Cricetulus griseus: one gene and its partners. The protein of the gene in region 1 interacts with the protein of each later gene in a pairwise test. Links are inferred from orthologs where the notes say so. Each region holds a gene or a part of one and is shown on either strand. Other genes may lie near its edges.

Evidence for each region.
Region 2: the proteins of Rhoj (region 1) and Wasl interact in binary tests that used the Homo sapiens proteins (3 or more experiments, as listed by UniProt). The two-hybrid records come from large-scale screens. The link is inferred for Cricetulus griseus from reciprocal best matches to the Homo sapiens genes RHOJ and WASL.
Region 3: the proteins of Rhoj (region 1) and Pak2 interact in binary tests that used the Homo sapiens proteins (3 or more experiments, as listed by UniProt). The two-hybrid records come from large-scale screens. The link is inferred for Cricetulus griseus from reciprocal best matches to the Homo sapiens genes RHOJ and PAK2.
Region 4: the proteins of Rhoj (region 1) and Pak1 interact in binary tests that used the Homo sapiens proteins (3 or more experiments, as listed by UniProt). The link is inferred for Cricetulus griseus from reciprocal best matches to the Homo sapiens genes RHOJ and PAK1.

What each region holds. Positions count from the first base shown.
Region 1 is NC_048598.1:128,166,303-128,174,776, reverse strand, and holds the start of Rhoj (rho-related GTP-binding protein RhoJ), read left to right. Parts: upstream 1-3,458; 5' UTR 3,459-4,253; coding exon 4,254-4,431; intron 4,432-8,474.
Region 2 is NW_023276806.1:202,724,740-202,732,970, forward strand, and holds the start of Wasl (neural Wiskott-Aldrich syndrome protein), read left to right. Parts: upstream 1-3,742; 5' UTR 3,743-3,945; coding exon 3,946-4,053; intron 4,054-8,231. UniProt on the Homo sapiens protein: Regulates actin polymerization by stimulating the actin-nucleating activity of the Arp2/3 complex. Involved in various processes, such as mitosis and cytokinesis, via its role in the regulation of actin polymerization.
Region 3 is NC_048597.1:57,419,535-57,427,857, reverse strand, and holds the start of Pak2 (serine/threonine-protein kinase PAK 2), read right to left. Parts: upstream 5,230-8,323; 5' UTR 4,996-5,229; intron 4,667-4,995; exon of another isoform or gene 4,536-4,666; intron 1-4,535. UniProt on the Homo sapiens protein: Serine/threonine protein kinase that plays a role in a variety of different signaling pathways including cytoskeleton regulation, cell motility, cell cycle progression, apoptosis or proliferation.
Region 4 is NC_048596.1:101,603,365-101,609,938, reverse strand, and holds the end of Pak1 (serine/threonine-protein kinase PAK 1), read left to right. Parts: intron 1-2,383; coding exon 2,384-2,521; intron 2,522-4,988; coding exon 4,989-5,075; 3' UTR 5,076-6,289; downstream 6,290-6,574. UniProt on the Homo sapiens protein: Protein kinase involved in intracellular signaling pathways downstream of integrins and receptor-type kinases that plays an important role in cytoskeleton dynamics, in cell adhesion, migration, proliferation, apoptosis, mitosis, and in vesicle-mediated transport processes.

The DNA of each region.
Region 1 (8,474 bases):
TCTTTAAGCAGACAGTAGTCCCACACACCCCTCATTTACCTAATTTCTCTTAAAATTAGGATATTAGGGGACAAAAGAAAAGTCCTCCAAATGTAAGAAGAAATACATTTCTGGAATTATAAAACAAAATGTCATACGCAAGAAAAGACAAGCCATGACATGGTATGTGACACTGGCAATAACTGGAAGCCGAATGCAGGCACTCAAAAGACGAAGAATACAGACACATGAGCACCCCAGATGGAGGTGACTCATCCCCCTTGGGAAGGGGCAGTTCCAGTCCAAGCTAGTCCTAGAACACTCTGTTCAGTGTTAGCATCCTAGCCGATCTTGAGGATATTTGGGTCAGAACCCTTAGAACTACATAATGTTGCCCTTCCCGTTCAAATCATCCCCATCAGTGCTGGAGACCAGTTTGCCTCTGGGAGGACTTCCTCAGGAAGGCAGATGACTCGTGGCTTCTGGGCATCCTTCAATCATAGCAACCATAGCACGCTGCACATTCCTAAGCCTGGAATCAAAACACTCTCCCACAGAAAGACTATCCCAGAGTAAGAATATCTGACCCAATTATGCCACTTCCCACTGCAGCATCTGGAGGGAAAACAGGGGAGAGAAGTCAAAGTTCTTTCTTCTATTAAAGCCACAGAAAAACTGGGACTTAATCAGATGAGTCAGAATTTATGTGAAATGTGTGTGTGTGTGTGTGTGTGTGTGTGTGTATTAAACTGACATTTACATAAACACCTGTGAAACTAAAGCACAGAAGACAGAAGTGAGCCAGGGAATTAAGGTCTCTTGGAAAAAAAAAAAATCACCCAGCAAGATTTCACTACGCGCTGTTAAGTTTGTATAAACTTGGTGATGGGGTAAACCAAATAATTGATGGCTATGTAACCACCAGTCAATCATCTACATGGCTCAAGACCCAAAAGCAAACATCTGCCTAAGAGCATGTTAGACAGAAATCTCCATACCGCTTCCAAACTCATACAGACAAACACTTAGACTGGGAGGACATTCTTGGTCTTTCAACCTGGGCCCACCATACATGGATCTATAGTTTCCTGGACATGTAAGAACAATGCTGAATTGTTCTTAAGATTCAGGTTTATGTTGGTTTTACTGTTATTGTTGCTGTTGGGGGGGTTGTTTTGTTTGAGACAGGATATGATTTATATAGCCCTGTCTGGCTTGGAGCCAGCTATATAGACCAGTTTGCCTTGAACTCCCAGAGATCCACCTCCTGAGTTTTAGACTTAAAGGACTGCCCCACCTGGCCTAACTTTCATACCAGTCTTGATGTTTAAAAGTTTTAATATTAAAAAATATTTTCACAGACAATGCACTTGATCATAAGGCTGAAATGCTAAGATTTTAACTTTTTGTTATTTTTAATAGAATGCCCAAAACTTTTTTCTATAATTATTAAATTTAGGGGAAATAATTGGTGATGAAAACAACTATATTGTGGGGAATATAACCAACATTCATTCTCTGGAGAGCTCTAAGCCATTTGGGTATGCCTTCCAACCTGGCAGAAGTACCAACCCATGGATTAAAGGTCACATAACTAGCTTCTTCAAGTGTCTTAAAGATCTACTTGACAACAAAAAAGTGGGCTTAACCATCTGTGTCTGGTGGTGCAAGATTTAGGTTACACACAGAAACAGCAAAATCTCACCTGAAGCCTTTACATAGGCCTAGTATTTATAGTGTGCATAGCTGACCAGGCTGGGAGCCATATTTCAGATCTCTGTGCATGGAGTGGCATTCCATCGTCACTGTGCAATCTCAGCCTAAAGGTCAAGGACAAGCCCTCACAGTTCTGCCAACCATCACCACATTGGCTCTAGTGATGCTGTTCACCTCCAGGCCAGTTTGTTGTTATTCTTGCTGTTGTTTGGGGTTTCTTTCGTTTGGTTTGGTTTGGTTTTTGTTGTTGTTTGTTTGTTTGTTCTGTTCCGTTCCGTTCCGTTCTGTTCTGTTCTGTTCTGTTTGCACTGCCAATCACTCCTTCATCTGCACAGGTTTGTTGGAATACCTCCATCATCCTCGAAAAGCCTTTTATGCAGAAGTATAATGTATGTTTCTAAATTACATTTTTATTCCACATACCCCAGGATCTCCAGAAAGACTAAATGAAAAGAAAATTCCGTCGGCTTACAGGCAGCCATGGAGGTCTTCAAATGCTTCTCCATGTGGTTTGATATGAAGCATTCATGTTCCATGACAGCCCCCAGAGTAAGTTATCTTTGGTTGTCATTCAGGCTGTTCATCAGCATGCAGTGCCTCCCTCCCAGCCCAGGGTAGGATGGTGCTCCTGACCCTTCTGCTGAGCCAGCTAGGCTGCTTCCTAGCCTTTTCTCCATGTCCATTTCCTTGCCTGCCATGGTGATCCATGTGTGTGTGGCTGTTCAATCAGTGCCAACCCTGAATAAAGAGGACAATGCTGTCCTGAAGAGATCCAAGGTAAGCAAACAAACAAACAAACGTGTCATTTTCCAAGTTACTGAGCTTTGGGGATTGTTTGTTATGGCAACATAACATCCCTAGCACTCTAGTCCTAAGTGAATTGTTATTCTTTCACAGAAAAGAAATGTTGGGGCACGGAGCATCACTGCAAATGCTACTCTAATCCAAAACAGAAGAAATGTGGGCTCTACTACATTGACAAGCATGCATATGATTTGTAGATACGTGGGTTATTGACAGGTACTTACTAAAGCTGATTTTTCTTCAACCCCGCCCTGGTAAAACTGCTCAACGCCATTGGATAATCTGCAATCTTCAAAATCTCATAGAAAAACAAAGTTCTTTGACTTGAACCCATTTGTCAAAATCATTTGCAGGGTCACATTTCGAAGACCAGGCCCGTTAATCAAATGAGGCTTCATTCTGAGGTACCAGACAAATTAGCTAACTGTTCTGCTCCTATGTCATTGAGGAGGGCCAGGCTGACCCGGGAGGTGATGATTCAAACAAAAAGGGAAACAGCCAAGCATAAACAACATTGGAGAACTCAAACCAAGCCAAAGGCAACACTGTATCCCTTCACTTCTGAGAGGTGAAGCCTGAGCCCAGCATATGCACAGTAAGAAAAATTTCAAATGCCCCATGTCTGGTTGGTTTCCTCTATGTAAAAACCTGAGGGGATTGGGGGGTGTGGTCTGGAATGCATGTCTAAGCATTGTGTCCAAACGGGGACTCATAAACTTGATCACATGTAGTATATCTACAACCTGCACAATCCCGTCGTCGTCGTCCCCCCCCCACCACACACACACACGTTCATTTGAAACAGTGTGACTGGAAGATTTTCTTCCTCAATGCAGAAAAGAATTGCTTGAGTTTCTTGTTTAAGTAAAGAGAAAAGTGTCGGTTTTCACTTTGCTTTGAACTGGTGAGTCAGGGAGCACTGGATGATGTCATATGTTAGCCTGCAAGCCCTGATGTGGTTCTCTCTGCTCTCAACTCAGTCCCGTCCCGTTTCCGTGGCAGACAGTACTCCCCGGGTTCCATCCTTTCTTCTTTGGCTTCTTCCCAGCCACAGGCTAGCAGCCTGGCTAGCAGGGCTTAAAACAGGAAGTCTGACCGCTTCGGCCGGCTACGGGACCCCGAGGGTTTTCCCACTGGGCGTCCTGGCCTGGTTCCCCAGAAGTACAAACACACGCACAGAGCCCCATTGTTGCCGCCTTCCCGGCCCACTGATCCTAATATGGAATGCAGCAGGAAACCCACGATTTCCTGACGCTTGGCAAGCTGGAGGAAGCGAGGGGGGAAACTCCGTTTAAAAGCCCTGCTCTCCTCCATGTTAGCTGTGTGCTGGAAAACCAGACAGGAGTTGTCCAAATCCCACCGTGTCATCATCAGCCAGGCTGGGACTGGGGAGGGCAGAGTGAGACTCTCACAGGCTGCTGAGATTTCTAGACTGCCAGGAAGTCCCGGGAAGTCTGTGGAAACGAGAGCGTCTTAACTCCAGCCATTGGAGGGAAAGGGACAGACCTTTTACATCCCTCCTCCCAAGAGCGTGTTACCTTTCTTCTCTCCCAGCATGGTGAGCGGCGGAGCTGGTGTGTGTCTAGGCTGCGCCTGGGAGATCCAGGCCAGCCACAGCCAGGCCGCCTGAGTTCCAGCCTGGAGCCGGTCCCACCGCTCCATGCGCTGCAGAAAACCCAGCCCCAGCCCCAGCCCCAGCAGCAGCAGCAGCAGCAGCAGCAGCAGCAGCAGCAGCAGCAACTGGAGCCGCCAACATGAGCTGCAGAGAAGGGACTGACAGCAGCTGTGGCTGCGGTGGGCGCGACGAGAACAGGATCCTCAAGTGCGTGGTGGTCGGGGACGGCGCGGTGGGGAAGACCTGCCTGCTGATGAGCTATGCCAACGACGCCTTCCCGGAGGAATACGTGCCCACTGTGTTTGACCACTACGCAGGTAGGAAAAAGTGGGGACCAACTTTTTCTACATGAGCAGTGGGGATGGGGGTACAGCCCAAGTTCAGAGGAGCCTAACTAACCCAGAAAGTCAGAGCCAGATGTGGACCTGGCGAGTACCAAGTTAACTCAAGCCGAGAATGTTGCTAGGATGGGGAGAACCTGTGCGTCAATTTACTTGGTACCGCCTTCCCACCTTGAGCAAATGTGTAAACCTGGAAAAATATCCTCCAGACCTCGGGGCCTGAAATTTTTCTCAACATTTTTGCCTAAACCTTCCTAAACTTTTCACAATGATCTTCTTCTTTTAAGTGTAGTGTAATTGCATAAATTTCCATTTAAAAAAAATCACCACTAGACACGTGGGAAGAATGCATTACTCCTTCAAGCTAGTCAGTCATAAATGAAAATGCTAAGGTAACCAGCCAATAAAACATTCTCCTTTTTTTCTGGATTACTGGAGGCTTAAATTTTGTCTTTCTCTCTTCTGGGGTGGTAGATGAGGAAGAAAGTGTCCCAAGCTTTTAGAATATTGAGTGGGAAGTTAAGTAAAAGATTGCTATGCTTTTACAAATAAAAATTCAAATGCAAATAAAATCATTTTTCCAGTATGTCCTGAAAAGACAAACTTGAGTATGAACTATTTTAAACCATGTTCCGATGCTGTCGTCACGCCTTAATTCTTTCAGGGGACTTTTAGTTTTTGAGTGTTCGATAACTTGTGAAAGTTCAGTCAGCACCCTGCCATGTTTCCCACATTAGCTGCGACCTGTAAGCTTCCCCTTATGGGAACTGATGTGTTTCTCTGAGCTCACCGTGGCCTCGGTTTTATAACATTTTTGGAACACAGCGATCACCAGTGAGTTATCAGGGACCTGGGGTCTGATGGGAGGAAAATTCCTCTCTCTTGGCCATGGCTCGGGATCAGATCAGTGTGAAGGAAGCCGCCCACAGGAAGCCAGCCTGAGTCTCTGCTCTTTGGCCATTTGAAATCCTCCTTCCTCCCTCCATAGGAAGTAGCCGCTTCTCCGTCCAGAGTACCATAGTCACCCCATCTCCCTTCCTTTTAAGTGTACATATTTGTAATAGTGGTATACAGTGCGCCCGGGAGAGATTCGCTGCTGGGGAGGGGGTCCATTTCCTAACAGGTTTTTTTTAGATTTGTAGAAATTACCTGAGCTTTTCTGAAAATAGTATGTCCAGGGAAGAACTTTTTAATGAGTATGGAACAAAGATAAAAACAGACTTTTCCTGGGGGGAGGTGGAGGAGATGTTGTAAAATATGGGGATCTGTACCTTGAGGAAGGGATTCTAATTCTGGTCCCGAAAACATTGTAGCAGAAGTTATTTCTCCTGTTATCTTCTTTATGGCAGAAAGGAAAATAGCTAGCACTTTATTTAAGTTGCTTTCTGCTCAAAGATGGAACTGAAAATCTACTAAAAGGAAAGTCTTCGAATGCCTGGGAAATTATGTCTCTGGATACCCATCCCTCGGGTGAGCCAATTACAATCCTATTGGCAAGCATCTTTGGCCATGAAGTTAGTCTATTAAAAAAAAAAATGAGGTCAAAACAGCTGGACTTTGCTAGCATGGAGTTATTTTATATTCCAATTATATTCACAATGACTAGGATTCGAGCACCAAAACCCCTCAAAGAAGTTTTACTGTTCGAGTTTTCATGGACTAAACTGTATTGTTTTAGTTCTCGAGGAATCACGGCCCCTAGACACAAAGCAGTTCTTTGCACACAGTAGGCATTCCTGAACACGGTCACTTCAGTTTATGCTACATACTTCTTCCGTATGTGATCATCTCATGTACTGTCCCTGTGGTTAAAAGGGGAGGAAAGGCATGAGCCACACTCACACCAGAGACTCAGGAAATGCTGGTTTCCATCCCAAAGACTCCACCCTGCTCTTCCTGCTCAGGCTATGCATCGGTCCCTAGGTGGCCATCAGGGAGCAAACCAACTCTAAAACAAGCAAAGGCCCCTTCCCCATCTGGATCCAGTTATCAGTTCCCTGGGTCCCACTGACCCACTCTGATATGACAACAGGAAACACAGCTGCCGTGTCTTTAGAAAAATGGCCTTGAAGTCAGGGATGGCCTGTCTCTTGAAGATGGCTCACTAACAACAGAGTGTGCATGTAATAGTAAGGAAAGTGTGCAGCAATATCACATGAGCCTCTTCTAATACTGTCTTTTCCACTTACTCTGTGGCCTTGAGAAAGTCACTTAACCTCTCTGTGCCTCTGTTCATAATGGTAACAACAGGGACAATAAAGGTGTTTGGATCGTTTTTAAAAGCAAAATGAATTCATGTGTGTAAAGTTCTTAGGGCCCAACACACAATGTGGGGTCAGGTATCATCTCAAGGTCTGTACACACAATGATGGAATTGAATGAAAATGTTATTGAACTAGGAACTACAATGGAGTACGGTGTAATTCCAAGAGTGTACTGTAATACAAGGACAAGGCGGGATAGAGCGCATGATTATCCTTATAAAATAGCTACCGTGGGGCTGAGGAGTGACAGCCCTGGCTACTGTAGTAAGTGGGATGTTAATGTAAGAGGTAGGATACCAGACTCGCATAAGTAATGGCAGAAGAAAGAAAAGGCTGGGGAAAAGTTGAAGTTTTATTACTACTAATTTATTTACCCATCTTTCCAAACTACCAGAATCCCAAAGTACACCAACTCCATGGTGGCTCTCCTGAGGACAACTCCTTGATCTGTGTCCAGTCTACTTCTCGAAATGTGTTTACATTTCTAGGGCACAGTCTGCACCATCCTGTCCTGATTTATGAGTTTCCTTAACTGCCACCCCCACCCCTCTCTGAGCTCTGGCTCTCCTTAAAGGAAGGTCATCCCTCACCACACACACACCCCACCCCCGGGTGTCTTGCCCTGTAGCTTTGATGGTTAGCTACTCTCCTTAAAATACATTCTTAGCTTGGTTTCTGGAACACCTCCTCCCTCACGGTTCTGTTCCATACCCTCAAACTCTCTCCACCTCCTCTGAGTCTCCCTCATTTCTCAGGGGCTGAGTGGTAACATAGTTCAGTGGTCAGTCCCTTGGTTCCCTTTTCTGGTTAGCCTCAGGACCCAGGTGTTAGAGTATCTAGTTTCACAGCTTAAGATAGCATTGATATGCTGCCAATTTCATATTTATATCTGCCCACCAAGCCTCAGAACACTCATCTATGCACTTGCCCCACTCCGTTTATCTGTCTAATAGGCATCTCCAACCAATGTTTGTTTTAATTTTCCCATCTGCTGGTCCACCTCCCTTCTCCACATAAGATCGCTGCTGTTTTCTCCTGCTCAGTGACTGAGAGCAAACACCAGTGTTACCTGTGACTCCTTTCTTCCTTTGACAGCATCCTCCTCCCTCTCCAGTCAACCATCAGTTCTTATCCCTTGTCCCTACAAATGAGCTCAGCCTTCACAAAGCACCAAGAACCAAAGCTGGCCACTTGCCATCACCCTATTTCTTGCCTCTTCTCCTATCCACACCACCATCGTCTCTCATCCACACTACTATAGTGGCCTCTCAATTCTCTGCTTCAAAACCCGTCCCCTGTGTGCCTCCACCCAGGGGAACCATCCCCAATCCCAGCCCCCCACCCCAGTCCCTTTCCTCCACACTCACACGCTTCCTGTGCCGTAATGTCAAGGTGCTCAGTGACTTTGTCCATTTTCCCTTCTCTCATCTTCTAACCCTATTCTCAGTATTTCTGCTGTAGCCACAGTGACCTTCTTACTGTTTCTCATGGAAGACTCCTTGAATGTTTGCCATTCACTCTTACCCTGACCTGACACCCCGCCCCCAGATCTGACCTAGCATTGATTGGTCACATAATTTAATCCATGTGTCTGTGCCTATGTGTTCACAAAAAACAAAAAGCCCACACTCACACCTGCGCATGTGTAAACACACATAACACACATGACTCCGACCTCTTATTCTGTTATACCTTCCTTTGCCATATTTAATACTACATGGCATTGTGTGTTTACTGGCTATTGTCTTAGTTATG
Region 2 (8,231 bases), on another chromosome or scaffold:
AGTACATTTGAAATTATTAACATTAGCCAGTGCAGTAGTGTGTTTCAGAAGACTTGTAAGAGTACATGCACACTGACATCTGCAAAGAGGAAAAATGGATAACTGAAGAACAGAGGAAGAAAAACGTGCCAAGTGTAGTTGTTGTAGCAGGGGAGACATCTGAAAATATGCCTTCACTTCCATAAATATGCTACTCCAAGGTTCTCTGACAAAATGAAGGGTTCACCTTAAAGGGTTATAGCCAAGCAAGACAGCAGAAAAGGAAGCACTAGAAGAAATTTTAGGTTAGGGACGGAAAACCACATGAAAGAAGTAAATGCAAGAGTTACTTTTTTATTTGTTCTATTTCTACACATTTTAATATAGCATATGTCTTTTACATGAAGATAAAACAACCCTACTCTTTTTAGACCAGCTAATAAAGTTCAAAACATGCAGTTGCAGGAGAAGCAAATGCTTATTTCCTGGACCAAATCCAGTATCTGCAACTGGGCAAAAAGAATTTGAGATAAGAAAATGGCTTGCCAAAGAAAACAATGAAAGCTGTCATGTGCCCTGCTAGAGAAGTTATGCTATCAAGAGTAAGTCCTGACTTGCTGGGCTTTTGGAAACAAATCTTGCTAATACTTCTTGATGTCAAGATGAATGTGGAAAAGAGTATAGTTTGTGTACTGTAAAGAGGAACTTGGCCAAGGCTTTATGCATATGTTCAAACGAGTAAGGAAGTCTCATCTCCAATGAAATGTTCACGCTTAAATTTTCATGTGTTAAGACTATCAAGGTATTGGGGAAAGTCCCGAGGAAAAAACAAAGTAGTGGAAATAAGAACTGAAGCTGTAATTTTGTGGACAAAGTACTATATTTGAAGATGTGTGGAAGACACAAAGCAATAACTTGGGATTGAGGAAAAAGCATTATGATCATCATTATTTTTAACCTTCAAGTCTAAAGAAAACAAACGGTGGTGAATGAAAGCTGTACTTAGGTAAGACATAAAGATTTCCTGAGAAGGAAAAAGGCAGACAATACAAACAGGAAACACCGGCTAGTAAAAGTGTGTGAAATGACTGGCACTCAATAGGTCTCTCGCATGTTCTGAGACACATACCTACAGCTTTTGTTTGTTTGTTTGTTTCCACAATTTTCTCTCACATCTGTTTTCAAAGCAGTTCACTGCTCTATGACACCTAGTATTTTTAGTTCAAAAACTGCTCTTTCTAATTTTGTGTACAATTTTAAATGAAAATAGATTTGCATCACTTTCTCCCTTCCCTTCCTCCAGCCCCTCCCAGGTATCTCCCCTCCAACCCCTCCCTTCCCACCCTCCTACTGACAGACACTCTCAAAATATTTTGCAATTGCTTTTTCTGGCCTGTTCATTTCTTTGTTGGTGAAGAGGATCGAATCCAGGACCTTGCACACATTAAGCAGGCATTCTCTGGGCTAGGTCCTAGCTTTTTGGATTTTACTAAATAACAGGCCTGTCTAGAATTATAGTATTAATTAACCATTTTGGTATTTGAGCATAATGGGATAAAACAACCTGTTTGGCAAAATATGTAGCCTGAAAAGAGATTATTCTCCCAACTCACTGACACAAATTTGAGAATTGTGTAAAGCTGTAAATACGAGTTTTTGAAGGATCAGGGTTACAAACAACAAATTCAAAAATATATTCTTCAATCCTTGATCCTTTACACCAGTGTTTCCCAACCTTCCTAATGCTGCAACTCTTTAATACTTTCTCATGTCATGGTGACCCCCCAACATAAAATTATTTCATTGCTACTTCATAACTCTAATTTTGCTACTATCATGAATCATAATGTAAATATCTGATACCTGTGGGGGCCAGGACCCTCAGGTTGAGAACCACTGCTCTACTCAAAGAACCAATTAACAGATCATAAGCAATGATGGCAAATGACAGGCAGGATTTGAGTGACCACTGAGTATCAGGTTATCTTACTTTACAGTTCTAAAGTAGGTGTTACTGTCCCAACTTCTACTATATTAACATTATGAAAGAGCAATTTCATTTTACAGATGAAGAAAGTGAGACAGAAAAGATCTAACAGGAACTTTAGCCTTGAACCAACTGCAGCCTATGTTTTTGGATACTAAAATTCACATCACGGCTGAATCATGTCCCAAGAATTTCTGATGATCTCAGTTGTCACTGTGCTTTGAGTTAATAAGAGGTGTATTTTTAATAAAACATAAACTGACATAAAGTGGTTTGCACCTCTACTTGTGCCTTTTTAAAGCCTAATTATCTTATAGTCTTCGCCACTTTTTTTGTCTTTGCCACTTTTAAAGATTGTCCCCTTAAAATTATGATTTGTTTAATTTGAAATATCTACATATTATGTGAGTACTCCTAAGAGTGTAAGATCTCATCTTCCTTTGTAGACTTCTTCCTGGTCACCTAATTTCACTATGGGGATTGTAGGCAGCCTGAAAACTTTTATATTTTCATTACTTTTGGTAATGGTTTACCAATGCATTGAGAGTTATCATGTCATAAAATTTTAATATGCAAGTGTTTAATTGAAACTGAATGATTGGAGAACATCGTTAGTACAATTTATGTGATAAAGTGTATCCTTAATTATCCTTAATGTGAAGAATGGTGAAATGTACATTTTATATAACTCGATGCAATCTGATTTATCATTTCTATACGCCCAAGTTTTTAAATACTGTTTTTTTTTTTTTAGTTTTCCATTCAACCGTATTATTTTATAATAACTTCTGATATTCTGAAACACAGTCATGAAGAATTCTCCGTATTGACTTGTGCTGGGAATGTAGATCAGTTGGCTGAGTGCACCCCAGGCCTAGGTCCCAGCAACTAGAAAAATTAACTCGAAAGGATAAAACAGGTAAGGCATAATCCTGTACAGGAATTCGAGACTGAGGACGATGGAGAGAGGGTTAGTTTCCAATTCACAAGATAAGAAAAAAAAAAAAAAAAGTGGCATTCGGGGCTCGTCGGAAAATTCGAGTGTAAATACTACACACACTTATCCCACGAGATCCGCCAGGCGGGGGGGGTGGGGTGGTGGACGTCTTTTGAAAGCGGGTCCGATTTTGACATCTATGAAGACGCCTCCCCTGATCCTGGCAAAGGTCTGTTCCTCCGCCCCCGCCCCGCCCCCAGTGGCAGCCTGTCGTGAGTTCGAGAACCGGGGGGCACCTGATGGAGGCTCCGCCCGCAACCACGCTGGCCGACCTTTGCAGCTAATCTAGACCTGCCAGGAGGCCTGAGAGTCCCACTTCGCTAAATGTCAAACCCTGGCCACCACTGGGGCGGGAGGACGCGCGGCCCGGTGCGCGCTGCGGTAAGGCGGTGCGCCGCCGGACTCTGCAGCCCCGCCTCGGTCCGACTCTGCGCACGCGCGAGGCGGCCCCGGTCCGGGCTGAGCGGGTGCGCGGGCCTCCGCTGGCTCCCGGAAGGGGGTGGGGCCTGCGCGGCCACGCCCCGGCTACCAGCAAGCGAGAGGAGGGGTGTCCGGCCGCGCCGCGTTTCCGGCGCGCTCCCCCGCGTCCCGCGTCCCGTGGTCTCGCCCGCCCCCGCTGCCATGTTGGATTGTGCGGCAGCCGCCGCCGCGCCGCCGCCGCAGAGGAGGAGGAGTCGCCGCGTTAGCCGCCGCCGCCGCCGCCGCGCCGCGGAGTGCGAGGACGACGACCATCCGGCCCGAGGCGAGCCGGGCGGGAGCCGGGAGCTTCCCTGTCGGCACGCAGTCCGCGCGCGCTCGCCCGCCGTCGGCTCCTTCCTTCCTTCCTTCCCTCGGCCTCCGCGCAGCGGAGGAGCGGCGGGATGCTGCGCCGCCTGTGAGCGCCGGCCCCGCGCCCCTGTCACCCCGAGCGGGACCGAGTGAGTGAGTGCTCGCCCACCTCCTGAGGAGACAGCCCTGGACGCGGCACCCCGCCGGCGACACCATGAGCTCGGGCCAGCAGCCTCCGCGGAGAGTCACCAACGTGGGCTCCCTGCTGCTCACCCCGCAGGAGAACGAGTCGCTCTTCTCCTTCCTCGGCAAGAAATGTGTGGTCAGTGAGCCGAGCGAGACCCCTGTCGCCACCCACCGCGTCCCCGGGCGGGCTCGGGCCGGGGCACTAGAGAGTTAGGAGGGAGAAGGGGGCGGGCGGGCGCGCGCGGCCGGGGTCCCGCCGCGGGCCAGGCCTCCAGCTCGCTCGCCCGGGCCCGGGTGCTGCCCCGGGTGCAGGCCGCCCTGCCCGGCCCTGCCCGGCCGGGAGCCGCCTCCCTGAGCTACTGGAGAACCAGGGAGTGTCACCTCTGCGGGCCTGCCCAGAAGTCCAAGTCGGGGTCCGCGCCCTTGCTGCAGGTTCAAACTTTACTCTAGACCACAAGGGAATTTTTCTGGGTGCATCAGTAGCTTCATCTCCCAACGGGAGCCCAGCCTTGCTTTACTTCCTACTTGTGGATCTGGGCTGTCTTCGTTAACAATGCTCGGGGCTTTAGGAGTGAATAGATGCGGGGAGGAGGGGAGAAGCGCGCATCGGCTTTATCGATCCCCCCTTTAGGATTCCGTGAGAAGGGTAAAGTGGAGTGCAGGTTCCCGGACACCGGCTCAGAGCGAGGAAGGGGCAGGAAATGCGCCTGCACCCCACTGCAAAGAAGCAGGGCTTATTTCCCCAGCGTTTGCGCCTAGGCCTAGTTTCTGCACTCCGCCCCACTGTTTTTTGTTTTATTTTGGTTTTTTGTTCTTTTTTTTTTTTTTCTTCCTTGCATTGGTAAGAGAGAGTGCTGCTCTCACCGCAGCCATGCATAGAGACGCCGCAGTTTCTACTAGTTCCTGGCCATTGGAGTCAAAAGTGATTCTGAGTTTGGTCCTGTGGGGCCAATCCCAACCCCAGATGGCGGATTGGGAGCGAGTAGTTCTGTGGGAAGGGGGAATGCCTGTTGTTGACGGAGGCATTCACGACTCGCTTCTGGGGCTGGAAGGCTCTCCCTGGTGAAGGCCTTATCTTGGTCTTACTGAGGTGACTCTTGAGTTGAAAGGGGGATTGTTAAAATACTGACTAGTCTCTTGCTAACACCCGCCGAGTGTGTGCCCCTGGAACCCAGGAAACACGCTGAGAAGTTTCAGCTGAGTAGGACCATTTTATATTTTTCCTTAGCAATGTTAGATATGTCAAACCAGACTACACCTGCTTAAGAAGTTAAGAGTAGACAGTTTCTGGAAAGTTACCAGCTTAATTGTTAACTTTATGAGCTTACTTTTTATATCTACTTCTGGACTTAAGATGTATTTCTTGTTCAAAAATTTAGACTTTAAAGAACACCAAGTCTACAACCAGAAGTAGTAAACAGTTTCAAGAAAGAAAGAAAGAAAGCTGGGGAGACAACTTTAAAAATGAAAGAAGTCCTTCCTGGTATATAGTATTTTAAACAAAAGAGAAAGTGGAGCCCTTGGCCCCAAGTCACAGTAATTTAGGAATGTAACTGGAACTCTATGTCTAGTCCCTTTGTACTTTCCACTACAGCATGTTGTTTCTTGAGGATTTTTCCCCCTTAATAATTTGGTTGTCAAAGTGGTGTTAAGGGAATAACTACTTCATTTTTACATAGAATGGATATCATTAAAATGTGAGTTTCTAAAAACAATGTTTTGCATATTTTCAGTTTGGGAAAGTCTCCAGCTTTTTTTTTTTTTTTTTAATGAGCTGCCTGCAAACAGGGCCAACTTTGTTGGTTTATTACATTTAGTGTACAATCTACCAAAAGTTAAGGAGCTTTCTGTGTTCACATACCAGACCCATGAATTCCAGGCATGGAGGACATTGCATGTATGTGCCTAGTGTACTCATTGCTCAGAGCTTAACTGTAGTGTTTACCCAGGGTTTCAAGGAAATGACAGACGTGGGAGTGTATTTTGATAGACAAAGATAGCATGGCTCACTGTAAGCATAAGTAGGTTGCTGAATTGGTTGCAAGCAGTCAGCGATGAATTTCTTTACGTCATATATTATTAATCAACTTTACCTTTTGAATTGTTGTAATTTAAAACCACATTGTTGTTGCCTTCTCTTGTAAGATGAAATTGTGAAAATTAAACTTTGGAGATTTTGGTTCAATCGAGAGCAATGTAAACTCAATGTTTTGGAATAATTTTTATAGACTTAGGCTCCCTTTTTTTTGTTTAAAACAACAGTGAAATGCATTGTCTCATAAATCAAGCAGTAGAGTTACAGGTCAGATCAAATGTAGTAAACTGATACATTCAGAGCTCAGTCTATGAAGTCAAGGCATGAAACTAGTTATACGGTGCCGGATTTTAAGCAAGTTCTTCATCCCTTGTTTCATCAAATAAACATGTATTGAGTAACTGAACGTTGAGGTCAAAAGTCAAGATTGATGCTTGCCCTCGGGGAGTTTAGTGTCTGATGAAGGAAACAACAAATAAACTGATGAATAAGTCAGTACTTAAGAAATAAATATGCAAGAGGCGCCTGTCACAAGCAGGATTCTAGGTCTGTAGTCAGGAGATGTGGGTGTGTAAGCTCAGAGCTTGGCTAAGCCCCTTCACTCTCCTGTTCTGTATTTGCTTTTCCTACCTGTTAGAGTGCTGTCAGATGGAGTGAGCGTGTTGGTTAGGAATATATACAGATGTCTGAAAACCTGTTATAAAAGGATGGGAACTCAGGGAGATGGATGGGAGAGTAGATAAATGAAAGCTTCATAGAATCAGCAATACCTTAATAATATTAACAGGTTGATAAAGGAAGTGCTTGTTAAATTAGGAAGCTTTGTTAGGGAACAGAGGTTTTACCTGCATCTTCACATGTATGTATATTGAAATCATGGTAGAAATTATTAGATGTGTGGTTAGTTGTATAATTTCTTGATAATTACATTTCTTGGTCTGAGGTAGAGCTTGATCTTCTGTTTTTATCAAGTTTTATGGGAAGATTCAAATGTGCACTACAGTTTGCAAGTAGAAGTCCATTTCTGATGGCTAATTCTAGATTTGTCACCTTGGTGACAATAGGCTTTCTTTTGATCGACTTTGTATTTGTGAGTTAAAGTTAGAACAGGTTCTTTTAGTATGGCATTCTTTGTCTTTCAAGATGTCAGATGTATTTCATAACCAAGAGGCAGATACAGAAAGAGAGAGAGAGAGAGAGAGAGAGAGAGAGAGAGAGAGAGAGAGAGTAGAGGGAGCACTATTAGTGGGAAGCACAGACCAGGTTTCACTTTGAGAGTGTATTTGGGGTTGGGTGGAAGCTATATAGAGGTGGACTGCTGGTGGTGAGATGGGTGACAAAGGAGATCCCATAGGTGTTTATGGGTGACCCCATACAACACTAAGGGGGGCTGAGTTAAAGCAGTTTGGGGGTAGAGGATTCAAGTATGATGAAAAAGATGCCCAGAATGACTAAGTCACACTGAGAAGCAGAAGGGGAGGGAATTGCAATGAAGGGAGACATTAATGAAGAGAGAAAAGTAGGTAGAAGCATACTTAATCTCATTAGCTGGAAGTGAATCTTAGACATCTACTGTTATGGTATCGTTTTAATAATTAGACTTCATGTAAATTAGGGTTTCATGTAAAGTTAAATGTACTATGTGAATATTATAACTTAACATTGGGTTAATAGTTCTGGTGGTATCACTATCTGGAGTATTGTCTCAAACTTAAAGAGCAAGATTTACTTATCGTTTTGACAAGGTTTCTATGTGCTTTGGCATCCCTGGAACTTGCTCTGTAGACCAGGCTGGTCTTGGAACTCAGAGAGACCTCCTGCCTCTGTCTCCTGAGTACTGGGATTAAAGGTAGTGTTTATTTACCACTGTGCCCAGCAGAATTCATTTACCTTATTATGAAGTTCTGTTGACTTTCAGGTAGAGTGATAGTTAACTTGTGTAATTTTTGCCATGTGGAGTTTAATATGTGTAGTCCCAAAAAAGTAGGGAGTAGGGAAAATAAAACCTGTAGTTAGTTCTATCCCGCCTTCTTTGTTCTGAATGGATTGAAGCTGGTGTGGATTGGCCATTTTTTTCCTGCCATACTCACCTATTTTATTTTTTGTTTTGTTTTGGTTTGGTTCTGTTTTGTATTGTTTTCACTTTTATTGATTCTTAGAATTTTTTATTAGTGTTTACATTCATTCCTGTTACTTCCTCAGCCCTTGTTTTTATTACTCTTCTTCATTAGTTAAATTGTTTCCTCGATTTGTATGCAGTTCTGAGAGATGGACCTAAC
Region 3 (8,323 bases), on another chromosome or scaffold:
CAACCGCATGATGGCTCACAACCATCTGTAATGAGACCTGGTACCCTCTTCTGGCCTGCAGGCACACATGCAGACAGAACACTGTATACATAATAAATCTTAAAAAAAAAAAAAAAAGAAAATAAAGATCTGCACTACCATGCCCAGCCAGCACAAAGAATTTTGACTATGAATGAAATGATTGTGTGTGTTTCTTCAACACATTCTTTTTTTTTATTTTATTAGTTCAAATTAGGAACAAGCTTGCTTCACATGTCAATCCTTTCTCCCTCTCCCCCCCCCCCAACATCCCACCTGCCCCTAGCCATCCCCCCTCCACTCCCCAGGCAGGGTAAGGCCCTCAAAAGGGGCTCCCCAAGTCTACCACATCATCCTGGGCCAGGCCTAGGCCCTTCCCTATGTGTCCAGGCCAAGAGAGCATCCCTTCGCATGGGATGGGCTCTCAAAATCCCTTCTTTTTTTTTTTTTTTTTAAGACCTTACATATTTAATACAGTGCGTTACCCCTGTACAAATGGAAAATCTTCAACACATTCTTATACATTTGTCAAAACCCACACAAAGCATGATGATCGAATGCTAGCATAAACCTTGGACTCTGGGTAGTACTAACATGTCACTGTTGTTCATTCCTAAGTGTATCAAAGAACTACTGTACTAGCACAGTTACTGATGGTGGGAAACTGATAACTCTATACTTTTTGCTCCATTCTGCTGTACACCTAAAATTGCTATATAAAGTCTACTAAAATAAAATTTTAAATCATTACATTAAAAATGTAAGAAATTCACATTTACTCAACAAACAGTATTTATTGTCTATCTACTTGTTTGAAGATGTGGGTCAAAGAAAGAAAGAAAAACATTCAAACATGGTGGAGGGGACTTTCATTCAAACCACACACAAATACATACACACATATAAATATTACTAGAAGTTCAAAATAAAATAGATTTTTTTGTGAAAGTATAACAGGTAACAGAAGCAAAATAAATATCCATTCAATAAAGAAATATAGATAAGGACATTTATATCAGTGAAATCTTTTTAGAAGTCAGTTTACCAACCATCAAAATGTAGAATGAGATGGGCAAAAAACACAGGTAAAGGCAACCAAACTTAAACCACCTGAGTTTATTCCTCAGGACCTGAACAACCAACCACAAACCACCTTGAAAGGCAGTCAAGTGTGGTAACAGCATAGGTCTGGAATGCCAGCACTATGAGAGGTTGATGCATTCTAAGCCAGTCTGAGCTACACAACAAAAGACAGACATCTGAGAGCCTCTCTCCCCTTACCTCACCGCCACAAGACAGAAAGAGAAACACCTGAAAATCAAGCCAGGCGGTGGTGGCACACGCCTTTAATCCCAGCAGGCAGAGGTAGATGGAGCTCTGTGAGTTTGGGGCCAGTCTGGTACAGAGTGAGCTCTAGGACAGCCAGGGCTGTTACACAAAGAAACATGCTTAATAGAGAAATCTTCTGTCTCGAAAAACCAAGCCAATAAATAAATAAAAATTTAAAAATCCTCTTGGTCATGAAGATGGGTTCAGTGGGTAAACGGTGCCTGCTGCCAAGCCTGATGACTTGAGTTCGATACAACCCACATGGAAGGAGAGAACATAGAGAACTGACTCCCACATGTTGTCCTCTGATCTTAACATGTCCCTCCCCACAATACACACAAAAATAAAATAAGAAACATTTAATCTTCTTAGAGGAAGCACATGAACACACCCATGTGCAAAACTCCACGACAGGGACAGGCATTAGGCTCTCCCCACTCAGAACTAGAAAACCATAATGAGCACAGATAGTAGGAGTACTATATAATGGGGTAACTCATAACTGTTGGAGATGAGGGGCCACTGTGGTTATTGATATGGAAATCAATATACAAGAGTTTTCCCCAATCTATAATCCTAGCTAGCACTTGGATGGCTCAGAAAAAGAAGACCACCAGACTACATTTATGAAGACACTGTCCCAGAAGCACTAAACAAAAGAATTTAAATCAAGTAAAAAACACACACCCTCACCAGAAGCTTACTTCTAACTTATTAAATAAGACTGTTAGCAATGGGGACTGGAGGGATGGCTCAGCAGTTAAAAGCACTGAGTGCGAACTGGTGTTCAATTATCTGTCTGTAACTCCAGTTCCAAGGATCTGACCTCTATACTGGCCTTCATAGGCTTCCAGGTGGTGCATATACACATGTGCAGGCAAAACACACATACACATAAAATCCAATTCCTCAAAATTAAAAAGGAGGGGCTGGAGAGATGGCTCAGCAGTTAAGAGCACTGGCTGATCTTCTAGAAGACCCAGGTTCAATTCCCAGCACCCATATGGCAGCTCATTACAGCTGTTTGTAACTCCAGTTCCAGAACTACTGACACACTCACACAGACATACATGCAATCAAAACATCACTGACCATTAAAAAAATAAATAAATAAAAGAAGAACTCAGAAGCACAATTTGCAAGTAACAACCTCCTTCTCATTAGACAAGAATCAGTTAATTCTGTAAACAGAAACACTTGAGGGGAAAAGACCTGAACTAGTCTCAAGACGAACCAGTCCAATTTAAACCAAAACCAGAAAACTCAGAAAGCCAAAGAAATATACACTTAATATTATTACTGTAATAACCAATAATGATAAAGATAGTAAGCATTCAACCATACCTACTTGTTTTATACTTGGCTACTTATACTAGCTCTTAGGTTCTGTGAAAGTATAATTCAAAGTTAATCCGTACCTAACCAGAACAAGTTCTAAGTTCCCTCATTTAAAACATGTAATTGAACTGAAATATAAACTACCCCAACATATCTACTTGGCAATCTGCCTATCATAAAGATCAAAGAAACACTAGAACCCCATTCCTTTGGCAGACATACATCAACTAAAAACCATACTTCATGAATTTAGGTTTGCAGTGTTAGTATCATATAACACAAAGTCCAGAAGAATTAATCTTTTTCCTCTGATCGAAAATTGGAATCATAGCCCCAAGAAGTGAAATACCCAAGAATTCTTTTTTTTTTTTTTTTTTAATGTCTGCTTGACCAACACAATGGTACACACCTCTAATCTCAGTGACTAGGAGCTGACGCAAGACAATTCCACATGCGTGTGATCCCAGATAAGGTTGAGACAGAGAAAGAACACCAGTTCAAGACTTGCCTCATCGACAACGAGAAAACCAGCCTAGAAAACTGAGACTCTGTCTCAAAAAGTTAAAAAGGGCTGGGGTTGTAACTCAGTGAGAGTGCTTGCCTAGAGACATAGGGAGGACTTTGGTGCAATCTAGTCCAAGGGATTAAAAAAGACAAAGAAATAGCAGAAGCTGATCTCAAGGCATCTCATTAACCAATTGACAGTACCGAAGAATGACAGTACTTGAGAACTTTCCCCACAGCCTAGTAGAGGGAAAGATAATAGTCTAATGAAAACAATGAAACATTTTGAATTTAGGTCAACCTCTTTTACCAAAATTGAAAAGTTACTTTAAAATGAGTATCTACCTACTTAGCTACCTATCCAAGCAACAACATGAAATTCAGTATCTATCTACAGACCTGTCTACCTACCTAGCTGTCTAAACAACAGCATGAAATTCAGTTTCCATAATGTAAATGTACAATAGTGTTCTTGGCTAATTAATCTCCAGAAAGACTTAAAGGCAGAGATTGCCAAATATGCTAGTTCACATGTGCAATCCCGGCACATAAGGAAGTGTCAAGCCAGACTGAGCAGGAATGAAGCCCTGTCCAGGGGGAGGAAAAAAAGAGAGGATCGGTGTAAAACCACATGAAAAGGGTTTTACATACAGACACACACACACCTTGAAGAGCTGGGATAGAGATGGGCAAGAATGTTCTACAGATGCCACAGGGCTTCTGGCAAAGTTGACATGCCCTAACCTGCTTTAAAAATTACTATTCACTGCCTTCACTCCGACCTAATTTTATTCATGCTATTCTTTTGGATAACTACAAAAAAAAAAATCCCCAGAGCAAATTCTTGTGTATTTATTTCAATATCCTGCCTACTTATAAGAGCGGAAGAGTCAAACACAGCAGGGGAAAAACGTGACGTGCACAACCTTCATCCAAAACACAGTTCGTCGTGGGCCGTCTAATTTTGGGCCTAACCGGTTTGGTTGTCTTTTTAAAAAGGTTAGAAACGAAATGATAGAAAATCTACAGGTCACTTGTAAAGAAGAACCTGGCCGCTACCAATGGGAGTTACTTACCAAAGAAGAAACAAATCTCTCCCACTCTATCTATTCCTATTAAAATTAAGATAGAGGATGGCAAGAGCCTCTCATCAAGCCACAGTGGCAATTATTTTTACACACTGCTGTCTTGGATGACTTGATCTCTAAAGAACTAATCAAAAGGTTGGAGTCCACAAAGTTACTTGCGGCAACGTTTTTGTGAGTGAGGGCGCGCGTGTTTCAGACAGCCAAACATGGTGAAAAGCCAACCTCAGTCCAAGTTAACCTTAAGAAGCAAATATTCACCTCCTGGCTGAAGATCAAGCAAAAACTGTGAGAAGATCCTTAAGTTCTGTTCTCAAGCGGAGGCTCCCGGAGCCCTGCAAAACTTTCTCCTGATGTGGAGAATGAGGAAGAGCTTACAGACGGAACCTAAGGGGTTCGCGACAGGATTCCGGAGCCCCAAGGCTGCAGCGAACGCAGCTGGTAGAGGGGGGAACATCCAGGAACAAACCCGAGCCGTCCGGTGCAGCGCCCGCGGCAGAGAAGGGCGAGGGCGGCCGGACTGGGGCCGGGCACAGCCGGTCCGCGCAGCCCGGCAAGCTTCCTCCCGGTCGAAGCTGAGGAGAACCCGGGCGCAGACAATGAGCCACCGCCCGGAGCCGAGGGCCCGCTCGCAGGTGCCTGCGTCCCGGGCAGCTGGGCCCAGGCCGCGGAGGCGGGAGGAGGGCGGCGGCCCGGCCCGATCGAGAGCGTCCGCACTTACCAGAGAGGGAAGGTCTCCGCCCGACCCGGGGCGGGCTGCCGGGCCGACGCGAGCGAGCGCTGCTCTGAGAGACAGAGAGGGAGGAGGGCAGGGCAGAGGGGAGCGGCTCGGGGCGCGGCCGTCGCTACCGAGGCCGTGAGGCGCGGAGCCCCGCGGGCCAGGGAGGGGAGGGCAGGAGCCTTCGGCAATGGCGACGGCCCGGGCCGGAGGGGAAGCGGAACAACCGCTGCCGCTGCGCGTGGCCACAACCCTGGGGGAGGGCGGCGGCGAGGCGCGGGGCAGGGCCTGAAGTAAAGACACGCCCCTCCCCTGCGTCACTCCAGATGGGCGGGCCTGCACAGGGCTGCTGGGAATCGTAGTCCAGTCATCTGCTGGCGGGATGGGAGGGTGGGTGGGGGGCGCAGAGGTCGTTTTGGGATTACAGAGAAAACTTGTCCCTCATTTAATTCATCATTTTGCATTGTCTGCAGTTACGCTTTACCTACTGAAGATACTGACGGAGAACATCTGATCCATATATGTTTGTGTATACAGGATCTTTGTTTCTGAGAATTCATTCATTCACCACTTTGCTTTTTTTTAAACCTACAAATCAAATTATACTGCTAAATTATGTCCTCCCTCTTCTCAAACAAAAACCTCTGTATTTATCAACGGAGGAGTTAATCTAAGTATTCTTATTCTATAATTTCGTCAGTGTCTAATGCCTATAAAGGACACCTTTAGGTACTAGGGATTTGAAGTTGGAAATGCTTTACCTCGTCCTTTTAAAGTTTGTAAAGAATGAAAACGGAATAATCAAAGTATTGATATCTGTTACTCTGCAAAAACCGAGGGAGATTACTTTGGACAGAGAAGGTGACATTTAAAGTGAAAACAGGAAGAGAAAGCCAGAAGCACCCAGAGGCAAGGATTACAGGTAGGAAGGAAAAGGAATGCCATGGTCAGTTAAGAAGACCCACATAGGGTTGGAGATCCAGCTCACTGGTAGAGCACTTGCCTAGCAAGTGCAAGGTCCTGGGTTCAGTCCGTAGCTTCATGTAGGGATGGAGAGATGACTCAGCCATTAAAGGCTGAGATCTGTGTAGTTGCAGTTTGGTTCAAGTTGGGTATATTAGAAAACACTGGAGTACAATACATATGATGGAGCAAACCTGCAATTCCAGCACCTGGATAACTGAGGTAAGATAAGGAATTTGAGGATGGGGCTGGCTATAAACCAAGATCCCATTTCAAAAAAATAAACAAAACCAAGCCAAACAAACTTCACAGCAGACAGGATTGCTGTAAGAAGTGTGTACTTCAAGAAGCCATTAAACAATTTCAAGCAGAGAAGTAACGTTACCTGGTTTACCCTTTAAGCTCATTAGATTGTCAGATGTGATGTTGCATACCTGCAATCCCAGTATTTAGGAGGCTGAGGCAGGAATGTTCAAGACCAGCCTAGATCACATATAATAACTCACCTTAAAAGAAAGAGAGAGGGAGCGAGGGAGCGAGGGTGCAAGGGAGGGAGGGAGGGAGGGAGGAGGGAGGGGCAACTAGATAGCTTAGCAGGTAATGGGGTTTCCATCAAGACTCCCCACCTGAATTTGATCCTCAGCATCCACATGGTAGGAGAGAACTCTGATCTCCACACCTGCACCCTGCCCCACTTCCAAAAAAAAAAAAAAAAAAAAGAGAGAGAGAGGGAGAAGTGAACTAGGGAGAGTGATCCAAAAAATTCTAGAAAACAGTAGTGGTTTGTGCTCTGTTTCAAGAAAAACTGCTATGAAGAGCAGAGAAAGACACAAGATAACTCGAAGTGTTCTCACTGTCAAACATAGAAGCATTTGCTAAAATGTGACATCCTAGTAGAAACATAGCTAAGTTGTCACTAGAGAAGAATGCCTCTCTCTGGTAGTTCTCCAAACCCCAAGCTCAGCCCCAAACAAGGAGAAAAGCAGAGTGAAGGAAGCCATGCTGGTTTCAGTTAAGATACCAACTTTCCTTGAAAATCTCAGGGGTTTTGATAGCCACTTAGATGGCAGGGAAGCTGCAGAATACCAAAGATAAAGTGACAGGAAAAAAAAAAAAAAAAACAAAAAACAAAAAAAAACCCAAACGGTTCTCCACAGATGAGCAACTGTTGAATTCACACCAGATTTCTTAGCTGGGCAGAGTGATTCACACCTGTGGATCTGAGGCCTGCCTGTACTATAACATGACACCCTGTCACAGTCTGTAATGGAATAAAAACCTAAAAGTACTGAGGGACGTAACTAAATTTAGAAATGTACCCGTAGCTAAATCATCAAACTAAAATAGAAACGTTGCCAACAGAGATCTAGAAAAGATATAATTCATGCCAGGCATAGTGATGCCAGCTGGAAATCCCAGCCCCTGGGAGGCAGAGGAAGGAGTTCAAGGTTTACATAGTGAGTTGGAGGCCAGATGAGCTATTTGACACCTGAGGCGGGACGGGGGGATGAATGTATTAAGGTAAAGCGTCAAGAAATAAGATGACTAACCAGTGCTATCACTACTTAGGTCAATTCTGAAGTGCGTACTTAGTGCATACCATTTACTCTCTTGTAGTCGATCAAATCCTACATTCAGCCACCTGCTAGCAACACAGGATGTATATTTGAGGGATACAGATGTTGGCTACTTTAATTCAAATCCCATATAATTAGCATTGAACATGGGTTATCAAAATAAGTAGCTTCCAATTCATTAGTGAGGCAAAAGATCATTCTAGTTCCTAAAGCATGCAATATTTTCCAAAATAGATAAATGACTAAGATAAACATTAATACACACCCTACCACCACCCCTAGTTGAGATGAGCTGTTTTTTTGTTTTCTGCATCCAAAAGAACCTAACAAAATTCTTTAAGATAAATAAATCATAAAAGTGGAAAAAATACTAGGACATAATGAACAAGAGAGCAGTATCCATTCTCTTGGCTTGAAACAAAAAAGACCACACACAAAACTGACTGAAATATAAAACCTACTTGTGTCTATCAAAGGAAGATAATATAAGGAGGCCAAACCAAGGCATGTGCATATATCAAAATTAGCATCATCTACTCAACAGGCAATAAGAGTCATATCAAAGTTTGTGTTGGTTCAGTCACATGATTTTCTTGTACTTCTTGACACCTGTATAAGTGAATACAAGACTGGATTATATAGTAAGACACAATTTTAAATATTAACTTTATACTTAAAAACTGCGTGGTAGCACCTGACTAGTTCTGTGCTAGGGAATCTGTGCTAAGTCAAAAAAAGGATCAGGATTTTGAGGATAGTCTGGACTACATAACAAGATTCTGTTTCTTATA
Region 4 (6,574 bases), on another chromosome or scaffold:
ATAGCTTAGTTTTAGAGCTCAGTCCTAGCATTGCATAGGCTGAGGAAGGGCTGAGTTCCTACTATATACAAGATATTGTTCTGATAATAATACCAAATTATTATATGCTTTTTTCAACTGCTGTTGAAAAAATGTAGAGTAAGAACAATTGAAACAATAATGGAGAAGTTTTTATTGGTTATTTCAGAAGAAATTAAGGAGATTTAGTCTTATGCAAGAGTTTCCAAGCATTATGAATTTGATTTAATTTTTTGCTCATTGAGCCCCAAGGAAAATCAAGGAGGCTATTTCCCTGAAAGGACTGAAGAGAAAGTAGACTGGTAGCCAGTCAGGGATAAGGAAGGACCTGACACTAAGACCTGTGGGACAGTATGAGAGCTTGGATTTTATTTTGCAGCATTAGAAAGGATTTTCAGCTAGATAATAGTAATAGGACACTGTTTGTGGATGAAATGAATCATGTTGGTTGCTTCTTTAGGAAATACAGTGAGAGACTGATAAAATAGTTCAGACAAGAGTAGTAGCTTGGATGACACTGGTAGGAATGCAGGTGATAAGTAGACTTGGAAAGTATCTTGACAAGATAAAGTGGAATCAACAGTCCCTATAGCCTGAATTTTGAGAAATTCAATTGCCCTTTGCATTAGTTACTTTTTCTGTTGCTATGATTAAAGTACTGTGACCAAGGCAACTTACAGAAGAATAAATTTTATTTGTGCTTGTGGTTCCTGGAGGATAAGACTTCATGATAGTAGGGAAGTAGCATGAATGACAGCAGGAACAGGATGCTGAGAGCTTCTATCTGGAACCACACATGAACCACAAACTGCAAGTAAGAAAACCTTAAGCTCCACCTCCAGTGACATACTTCCTTCAGCAAGGCCTTAATGAGCAGTTAGTATAGTGATAGGGACAAATACCTAACTTGAATAAACCCATAAGAACAGAAAAGGAGGAAATTGAGATGGCATTTATAAATATTTTTCTCTTCCTATATGAATTTTGTTATGAAGGGTGACAGAGAAATGGAACAATGTCTTGTAGAGTTGGGAAGGGGTAGGCTAAAAGTTGTATGTTTGCTACTGGAAATGAATTAGTGAAGAGAACAAAATGGTCATTTGCAAGAGAGAAATAGCGACAGCAAGAACGATACATAAAATAAAGGGCATTCGAGTGTGGACATGTTTCTATTCTGTAATGGGAGAGGAAAGCAGAGTATGCAACAAAGATGCAAGGAAGGTGGTGATTTTGATTGTGGACAACTGTGAGGTTCTTTTGATTGCTTTTGTTTTCTCATTTAATCCATCCTCCAATCTAGTGCAGGAATTCCCCTGCAAGGGATATCTACCCTTAACTACATGTTCATATTGCCACCCTTGGATAGCTTTAGTTCCTGGAAAGTGCTTCATTATCTCAAAGTGAAGCTTTGTTTAGTTTCTACCCTTTGGCCCCAGCTTTGTTCTCTGACTTTGTTCTCTGACTCCACATGTACCACATCCTCTTCTGCCTGGGATATGAAAGTGATCAGTGTGATGTGATAGAAATAAGACTGGGATTACAGTGAGTACAGGCAAACAGTGAGTGCAACAGGTATATAGTCTTATGTGTGAAATTGGGATAGTCATTTTTGCCCTGTCTCTTACTCAGAGTTATTGTGGTCATTAAAAATGAGACCGTGCAGCTGGGTGTGGTAGCACATGCCTTTAATCCCAGCACTCAGGAGGTATAGACTGGTTGATCTCTGTGATTTTGAGGCTGGCCTGGTCTACAGAGTGAGTTCTAGGTCAGCCAGGGCTACACAGAGAAACCCTGTCTCAGAGAGAGAGAGAGAGAGCCTTGTAATTGAAGAGCTTGGTGTATAAAAACTTCTCGTTACTATGTTTTACTTCATTTCTCAAGAGTTGCTTCAAGTTAAGGGTAGGGAAGCAGCAAAAAAACAATTGCTGCCTAACAAAACATGCCTTTTTGTAATCCTATTGGGTGACTGAGTTCAGTGAAGGTGTCAGCAGCGTTTGGTGCCAGCAACTAAAGAGATGTTTAACTTACCATGCTAAGTGAGTAATAAACCCCTTGTATCTGTAATCAAGAAAAAGATTAAACCCTTAGATTTGTAACACCTTAGAAGTGTACAAAGTGCTTTCCAAATGCACTCTTTATTTTTGTGGATATATGAAGCATTGTTTTATTAGCAAAGAAGTTATATATTAGGTGTAGATACATGGCCATATGGCCTTGACATGTTAACCTTGATCCTTAGGTTAGTATATTCTCTGTGGAACATCAAAGCTGCCTCATTGTGTCCTAGAGCATACTGCAGCTGACCATATTTTTAGAGGACTTATCCCTCAGTGACAACAACATGGCTCTTCCTTTGTATTGCCAGGCCTTGTACCTCATTGCCACCAATGGGACCCCAGAGCTTCAAAACCCAGAGAAACTGTCGGCTATTTTTCGGGACTTTTTGAACCGCTGTCTTGAGATGGATGTGGAGAAGAGAGGTTCAGCTAAAGAACTACTGCAGGTAACTATCCTTCTGCAGCGAGGTGCCAAATCTTTGTACCTCATTTTTGCCTTTGAGGTTTCTTATTATAGGCTTCTCTCCTACTATCTCACTTTGTATTTATAGCTCCCTGGCCTTCCGTCTTGGGCCGGTGCTTAAATTTGTCCCTTAGTTTCTTCCTCAGTCTATTTAAATTTGTACACATTTTCCTTGGCTCAACTCAAAGTCTACTTTCTGAACTTCTCTTGAAGTTTTTTCTTTGTCTTTCAGGCATGTTTTATTTTGTCTGAATTTGCCTGTCAAAGTTGGGTCTTGAAAAGTGGCTCTCTGAGAAGTTTAATTTTGTATAAGTTATATTTTACTGGGATACATGTAAACAATGTAAAACCCAGCAGTCTGGGGTAGTGGTTCTCAACCTTCCTAATGCTTCATCCCTTTCATACAGTTCCTCATGTTGTGGTGACTCCCAGCCATAAAATTGTCTTGTTACTACTTCATAACTATAATTTTACTACTGTTATTAATTGTAATATAAATACCTGATATGTGGCCCCCAAGGGGTTCATGTCCCACAGGTTACAGAATTGGTTATTCCCATGTTTGCAGGTAAGGAAATTTACATGTAATAACTTTTGTATGATTATACAATTGACAAATAGAGGATACAGGGTTTCAGCATGTCTGTTTGCTTGCCAAGTATATATGCTTTTTGATCACTGCTTCTGAAGACTCAGAAAATGTCAGAGCTAGAAGGTTTATAGGACTTACTTAGTTTACTTTGTTGAGAGAAGTAAATGGAGGCTTCCTAGTTGAGTATTGGATGATACTGCTTTCTTACTTCAGAAGAGTTAGAAAAATAGGACCTCAACCCTAGCTTAACTTGTCAGTGTTATCTGGTAAATATTCAAAACCTAAACTTTTCAGAATCTTAAATCACGAAGTTTCACATCTGTTTCTTCTGTGAGAATACACATATGGACAGAAATACATAGGATGAGACAGAAGTAGATAGAATCCCAATATGGGATTCATAGCTTCAAGCTTTAACCAAGATCATTCATCGTTCTCAGTTCCTCTATATATCCTGTATCTGTCCCAATAAGAGTTGAATCAACTTTCAGCAAAGAATATATGTGTATATGTCTCTATGTATGTGTCTGTACACATATAAAATAATACTAATTAAAGTTATTATAAGCATGGTAGAAGAACCAGATATGTTAAATAATTATAAATATTTGATCAGAAAAAGAAATATAGCTCTGATATTTATATCAAATGGAAGAAACAGTCTATATCCTCAAGACAATTGCAAAACAAAAACCAAACAACCTACCGTTTCAGGTAAGAGGCTCTGTGTTACATAAAGAATTGTTTTCTATAACATTTTCATATTGTATTTTCTCTTATATGATTTATGTTTTTTTTAACTGGAAGTATGGCTCAAAGTCTATTTCTGTGAAAGTAGTTTTGGAAAGGACCAACTATTGAAATCTTTACTGGAACACTTAGCTTTGCTGGAGTCAAGGATTTAACAAAAGATTCTTAGCCAGGTATGTTTCATACTTATAGTCCTGGTTAATAGGCTGAGGCTGTAGTTTTATGACTAAATACTAGTGTTTTCTCCAGAAATAATAGTTACTCTGTTATTGAAATAGTTTAATTTTACCTAGGAACAAATATAATCATACAAAATGAACTCTTTGTCTTACTTGTTTCACTCAAAATGTCTATGGATTAGAGCTGGGTGTGGTGGTTTATGCCTTTAATCCCAGCAGAGGCAGGCAGATCTCTGTGAGTTTGAGGCCAGCGTGGTCTATAGAGTACATTCCAGGATAGCCAGGGCTGTTACATAGAGAAACCCTATCCCCCCCCCCAAAAAAAAAAACACAAAAAGTCTATGGATTCATCTTGCTTTCAGTGTGTCAATTACTGTGTTAAATTCTGTATAATGTCATATGAACATAAATCTATTAACCCTTCCTTTGGGTTTTTTTACAGGTATTAACTATTATAAGTAAAACTTATATACTTTGTCAGTGAGATAGCTTACTGAGTATGAGTAACTGCTGCCAAGACTGACAACCTGAGGTCAATTCCCCTGTACCTATATGGTGAAGGGAATTGATTTTTGCAAGTTGTTCTTGTGTGCGCGTGCGCGCACACACACACACGCACACACAGAGTAATATATATACATTTTTCCTTTAGTTTGAGAATGACCTGACATGGATGCCCTTATTGTCTTAAAATAGTTATAAGTGCCAAACCGTGGTGGCGCATGCCTTTGATCCCAGCACTCAGGAGGCAGAGGCAGGAGGATCAGTTCGAGGCCAGCCTGGTCTACAGATCGAGTGCCAGGACAGGCTCCAAAGCTACACAGAGAAACCCTGTCTTGAAAAAAAACAAGAACAAGAACAACAAAAAACCCAGCCAAAAAGGTTGTGAGAATGATAAATAATATTTGTTTTGCTTTTTCTTCTTCTAGCATCAGTTCCTAAAGATTGCCAAGCCCCTCTCCAGTCTCACTCCACTGATTGCTGCAGCAAAGGAAGCAACCAAGAACAGTCACTGAAACCACATCCACCCCAGATCATCGTGCCAAGCCTTCTATGAAAGAAACTACTCAATTCGGGAACTCCGATTCCTCATGTCCTCTTCCCCTTGCCTTGTTTCTCCCATTTCCTGATTTAGTGCTCTCAAGACTTTGATCCTTGGAAACCGTTTGTCTAGCACTGAAGAGAACTGCAACTGGATGACTGATCCAGCAATAGCCATTTCTAAATAGGAATTCCCTTCTAATCCATGGGCATGGGGGAGGTGACTTAATGAGCAAGGGTTTACCTGAATAAACCTGTTTCTACGAAACAGAAATCTCAACCATCCCATTCCTTACCCCTTACAATCAGTTCTTGACTACATAAATTTATGGTTTGATAGCATTATCAATTTGCAATCAGTTGAAATTTCTTTAGTGCTTTCTTTCTGTGACCAAATTGCCCAAACACCTCATTGTATTTGAAAACCATAACAGTTTAGAATGCCATGGGGCCTGATAATCTGCCAGGGACATGAAGTGGCTCTGTTGCCTGAACCATGACCTTGGTGCAGCTGATCCTGACATGGGAGAACTACCATGTTTTTCTTTGTGTGTGCTTCTAGCAGCTGTTTGGGAGAACCATGACCCAGTAGTGTTCCCTGTGCTATTTCTAGTGAAATGGTCTTAGCTATGTAGCAGCTTTTGATTCCCTGCATCCCCTAGGCTGCTGCCTGCATTCTGTTATAAATCTTATTTATAGCACTGAGAGATTTCCTAGAGCACATGCTGAGTAAGAGCAGTGTGAGAAGTCAGAGGAAAAGTGCAGCTACTTTTAGCATATGGCTGGGCTTCAGCACCTGGCCAGCTATACTTAGGTTATATTTCAAGACCTCAGCCTGTTTCTACCTGGAACAGGAGCTGAAAGATGAACTCATTTGGTAGCTTAACTATTTCAGTCAAAAGAAAAGGTCTCCAAATCTGAGATGATGTGCTACTAGTGATAAGGGTACCCTCTTTTTAAATGCATGACCAAGCTCTCTGCAAATGGACATGCTTCCTCTGGGTGTTGGGGATATTTGCTACCTCCTGCTTTCTTTGTGGTTTTGGTTCTTCCACTGTGGTAGGATGCTTGGCCAGCATTGTGGCTTGTCATGTCAGTGCCACTGACTACTTTGTCATGCTCAGAGGTACTGTTGCCTCAGCAGCACAAGTTTCTATTTCCTTCAATAAAAGGAAATGAAAATACGCCACATGGAGTGTCTTTTTTCCCCTCTCTTTTCTGTTTTTCCCCCTTTCTCATGAAATAATAATGATTCTTCATGAACCATTTGAAAGTAAGTTGTGGATAGGATACCCCTTTACCATTATTGACTTCCATTTGTTGTCTTTTCTTTCTAAAAATAGTTTTAGTTTAAATTTATACCAAAAAACTTAACAAAACCAAAACAAATAGCAACAACAACATGTGCGTTGTTTAAAGAATTATTGTAAACACACATGTATTTGGTGCCCATATAAAAAAGGGAACACTTCTA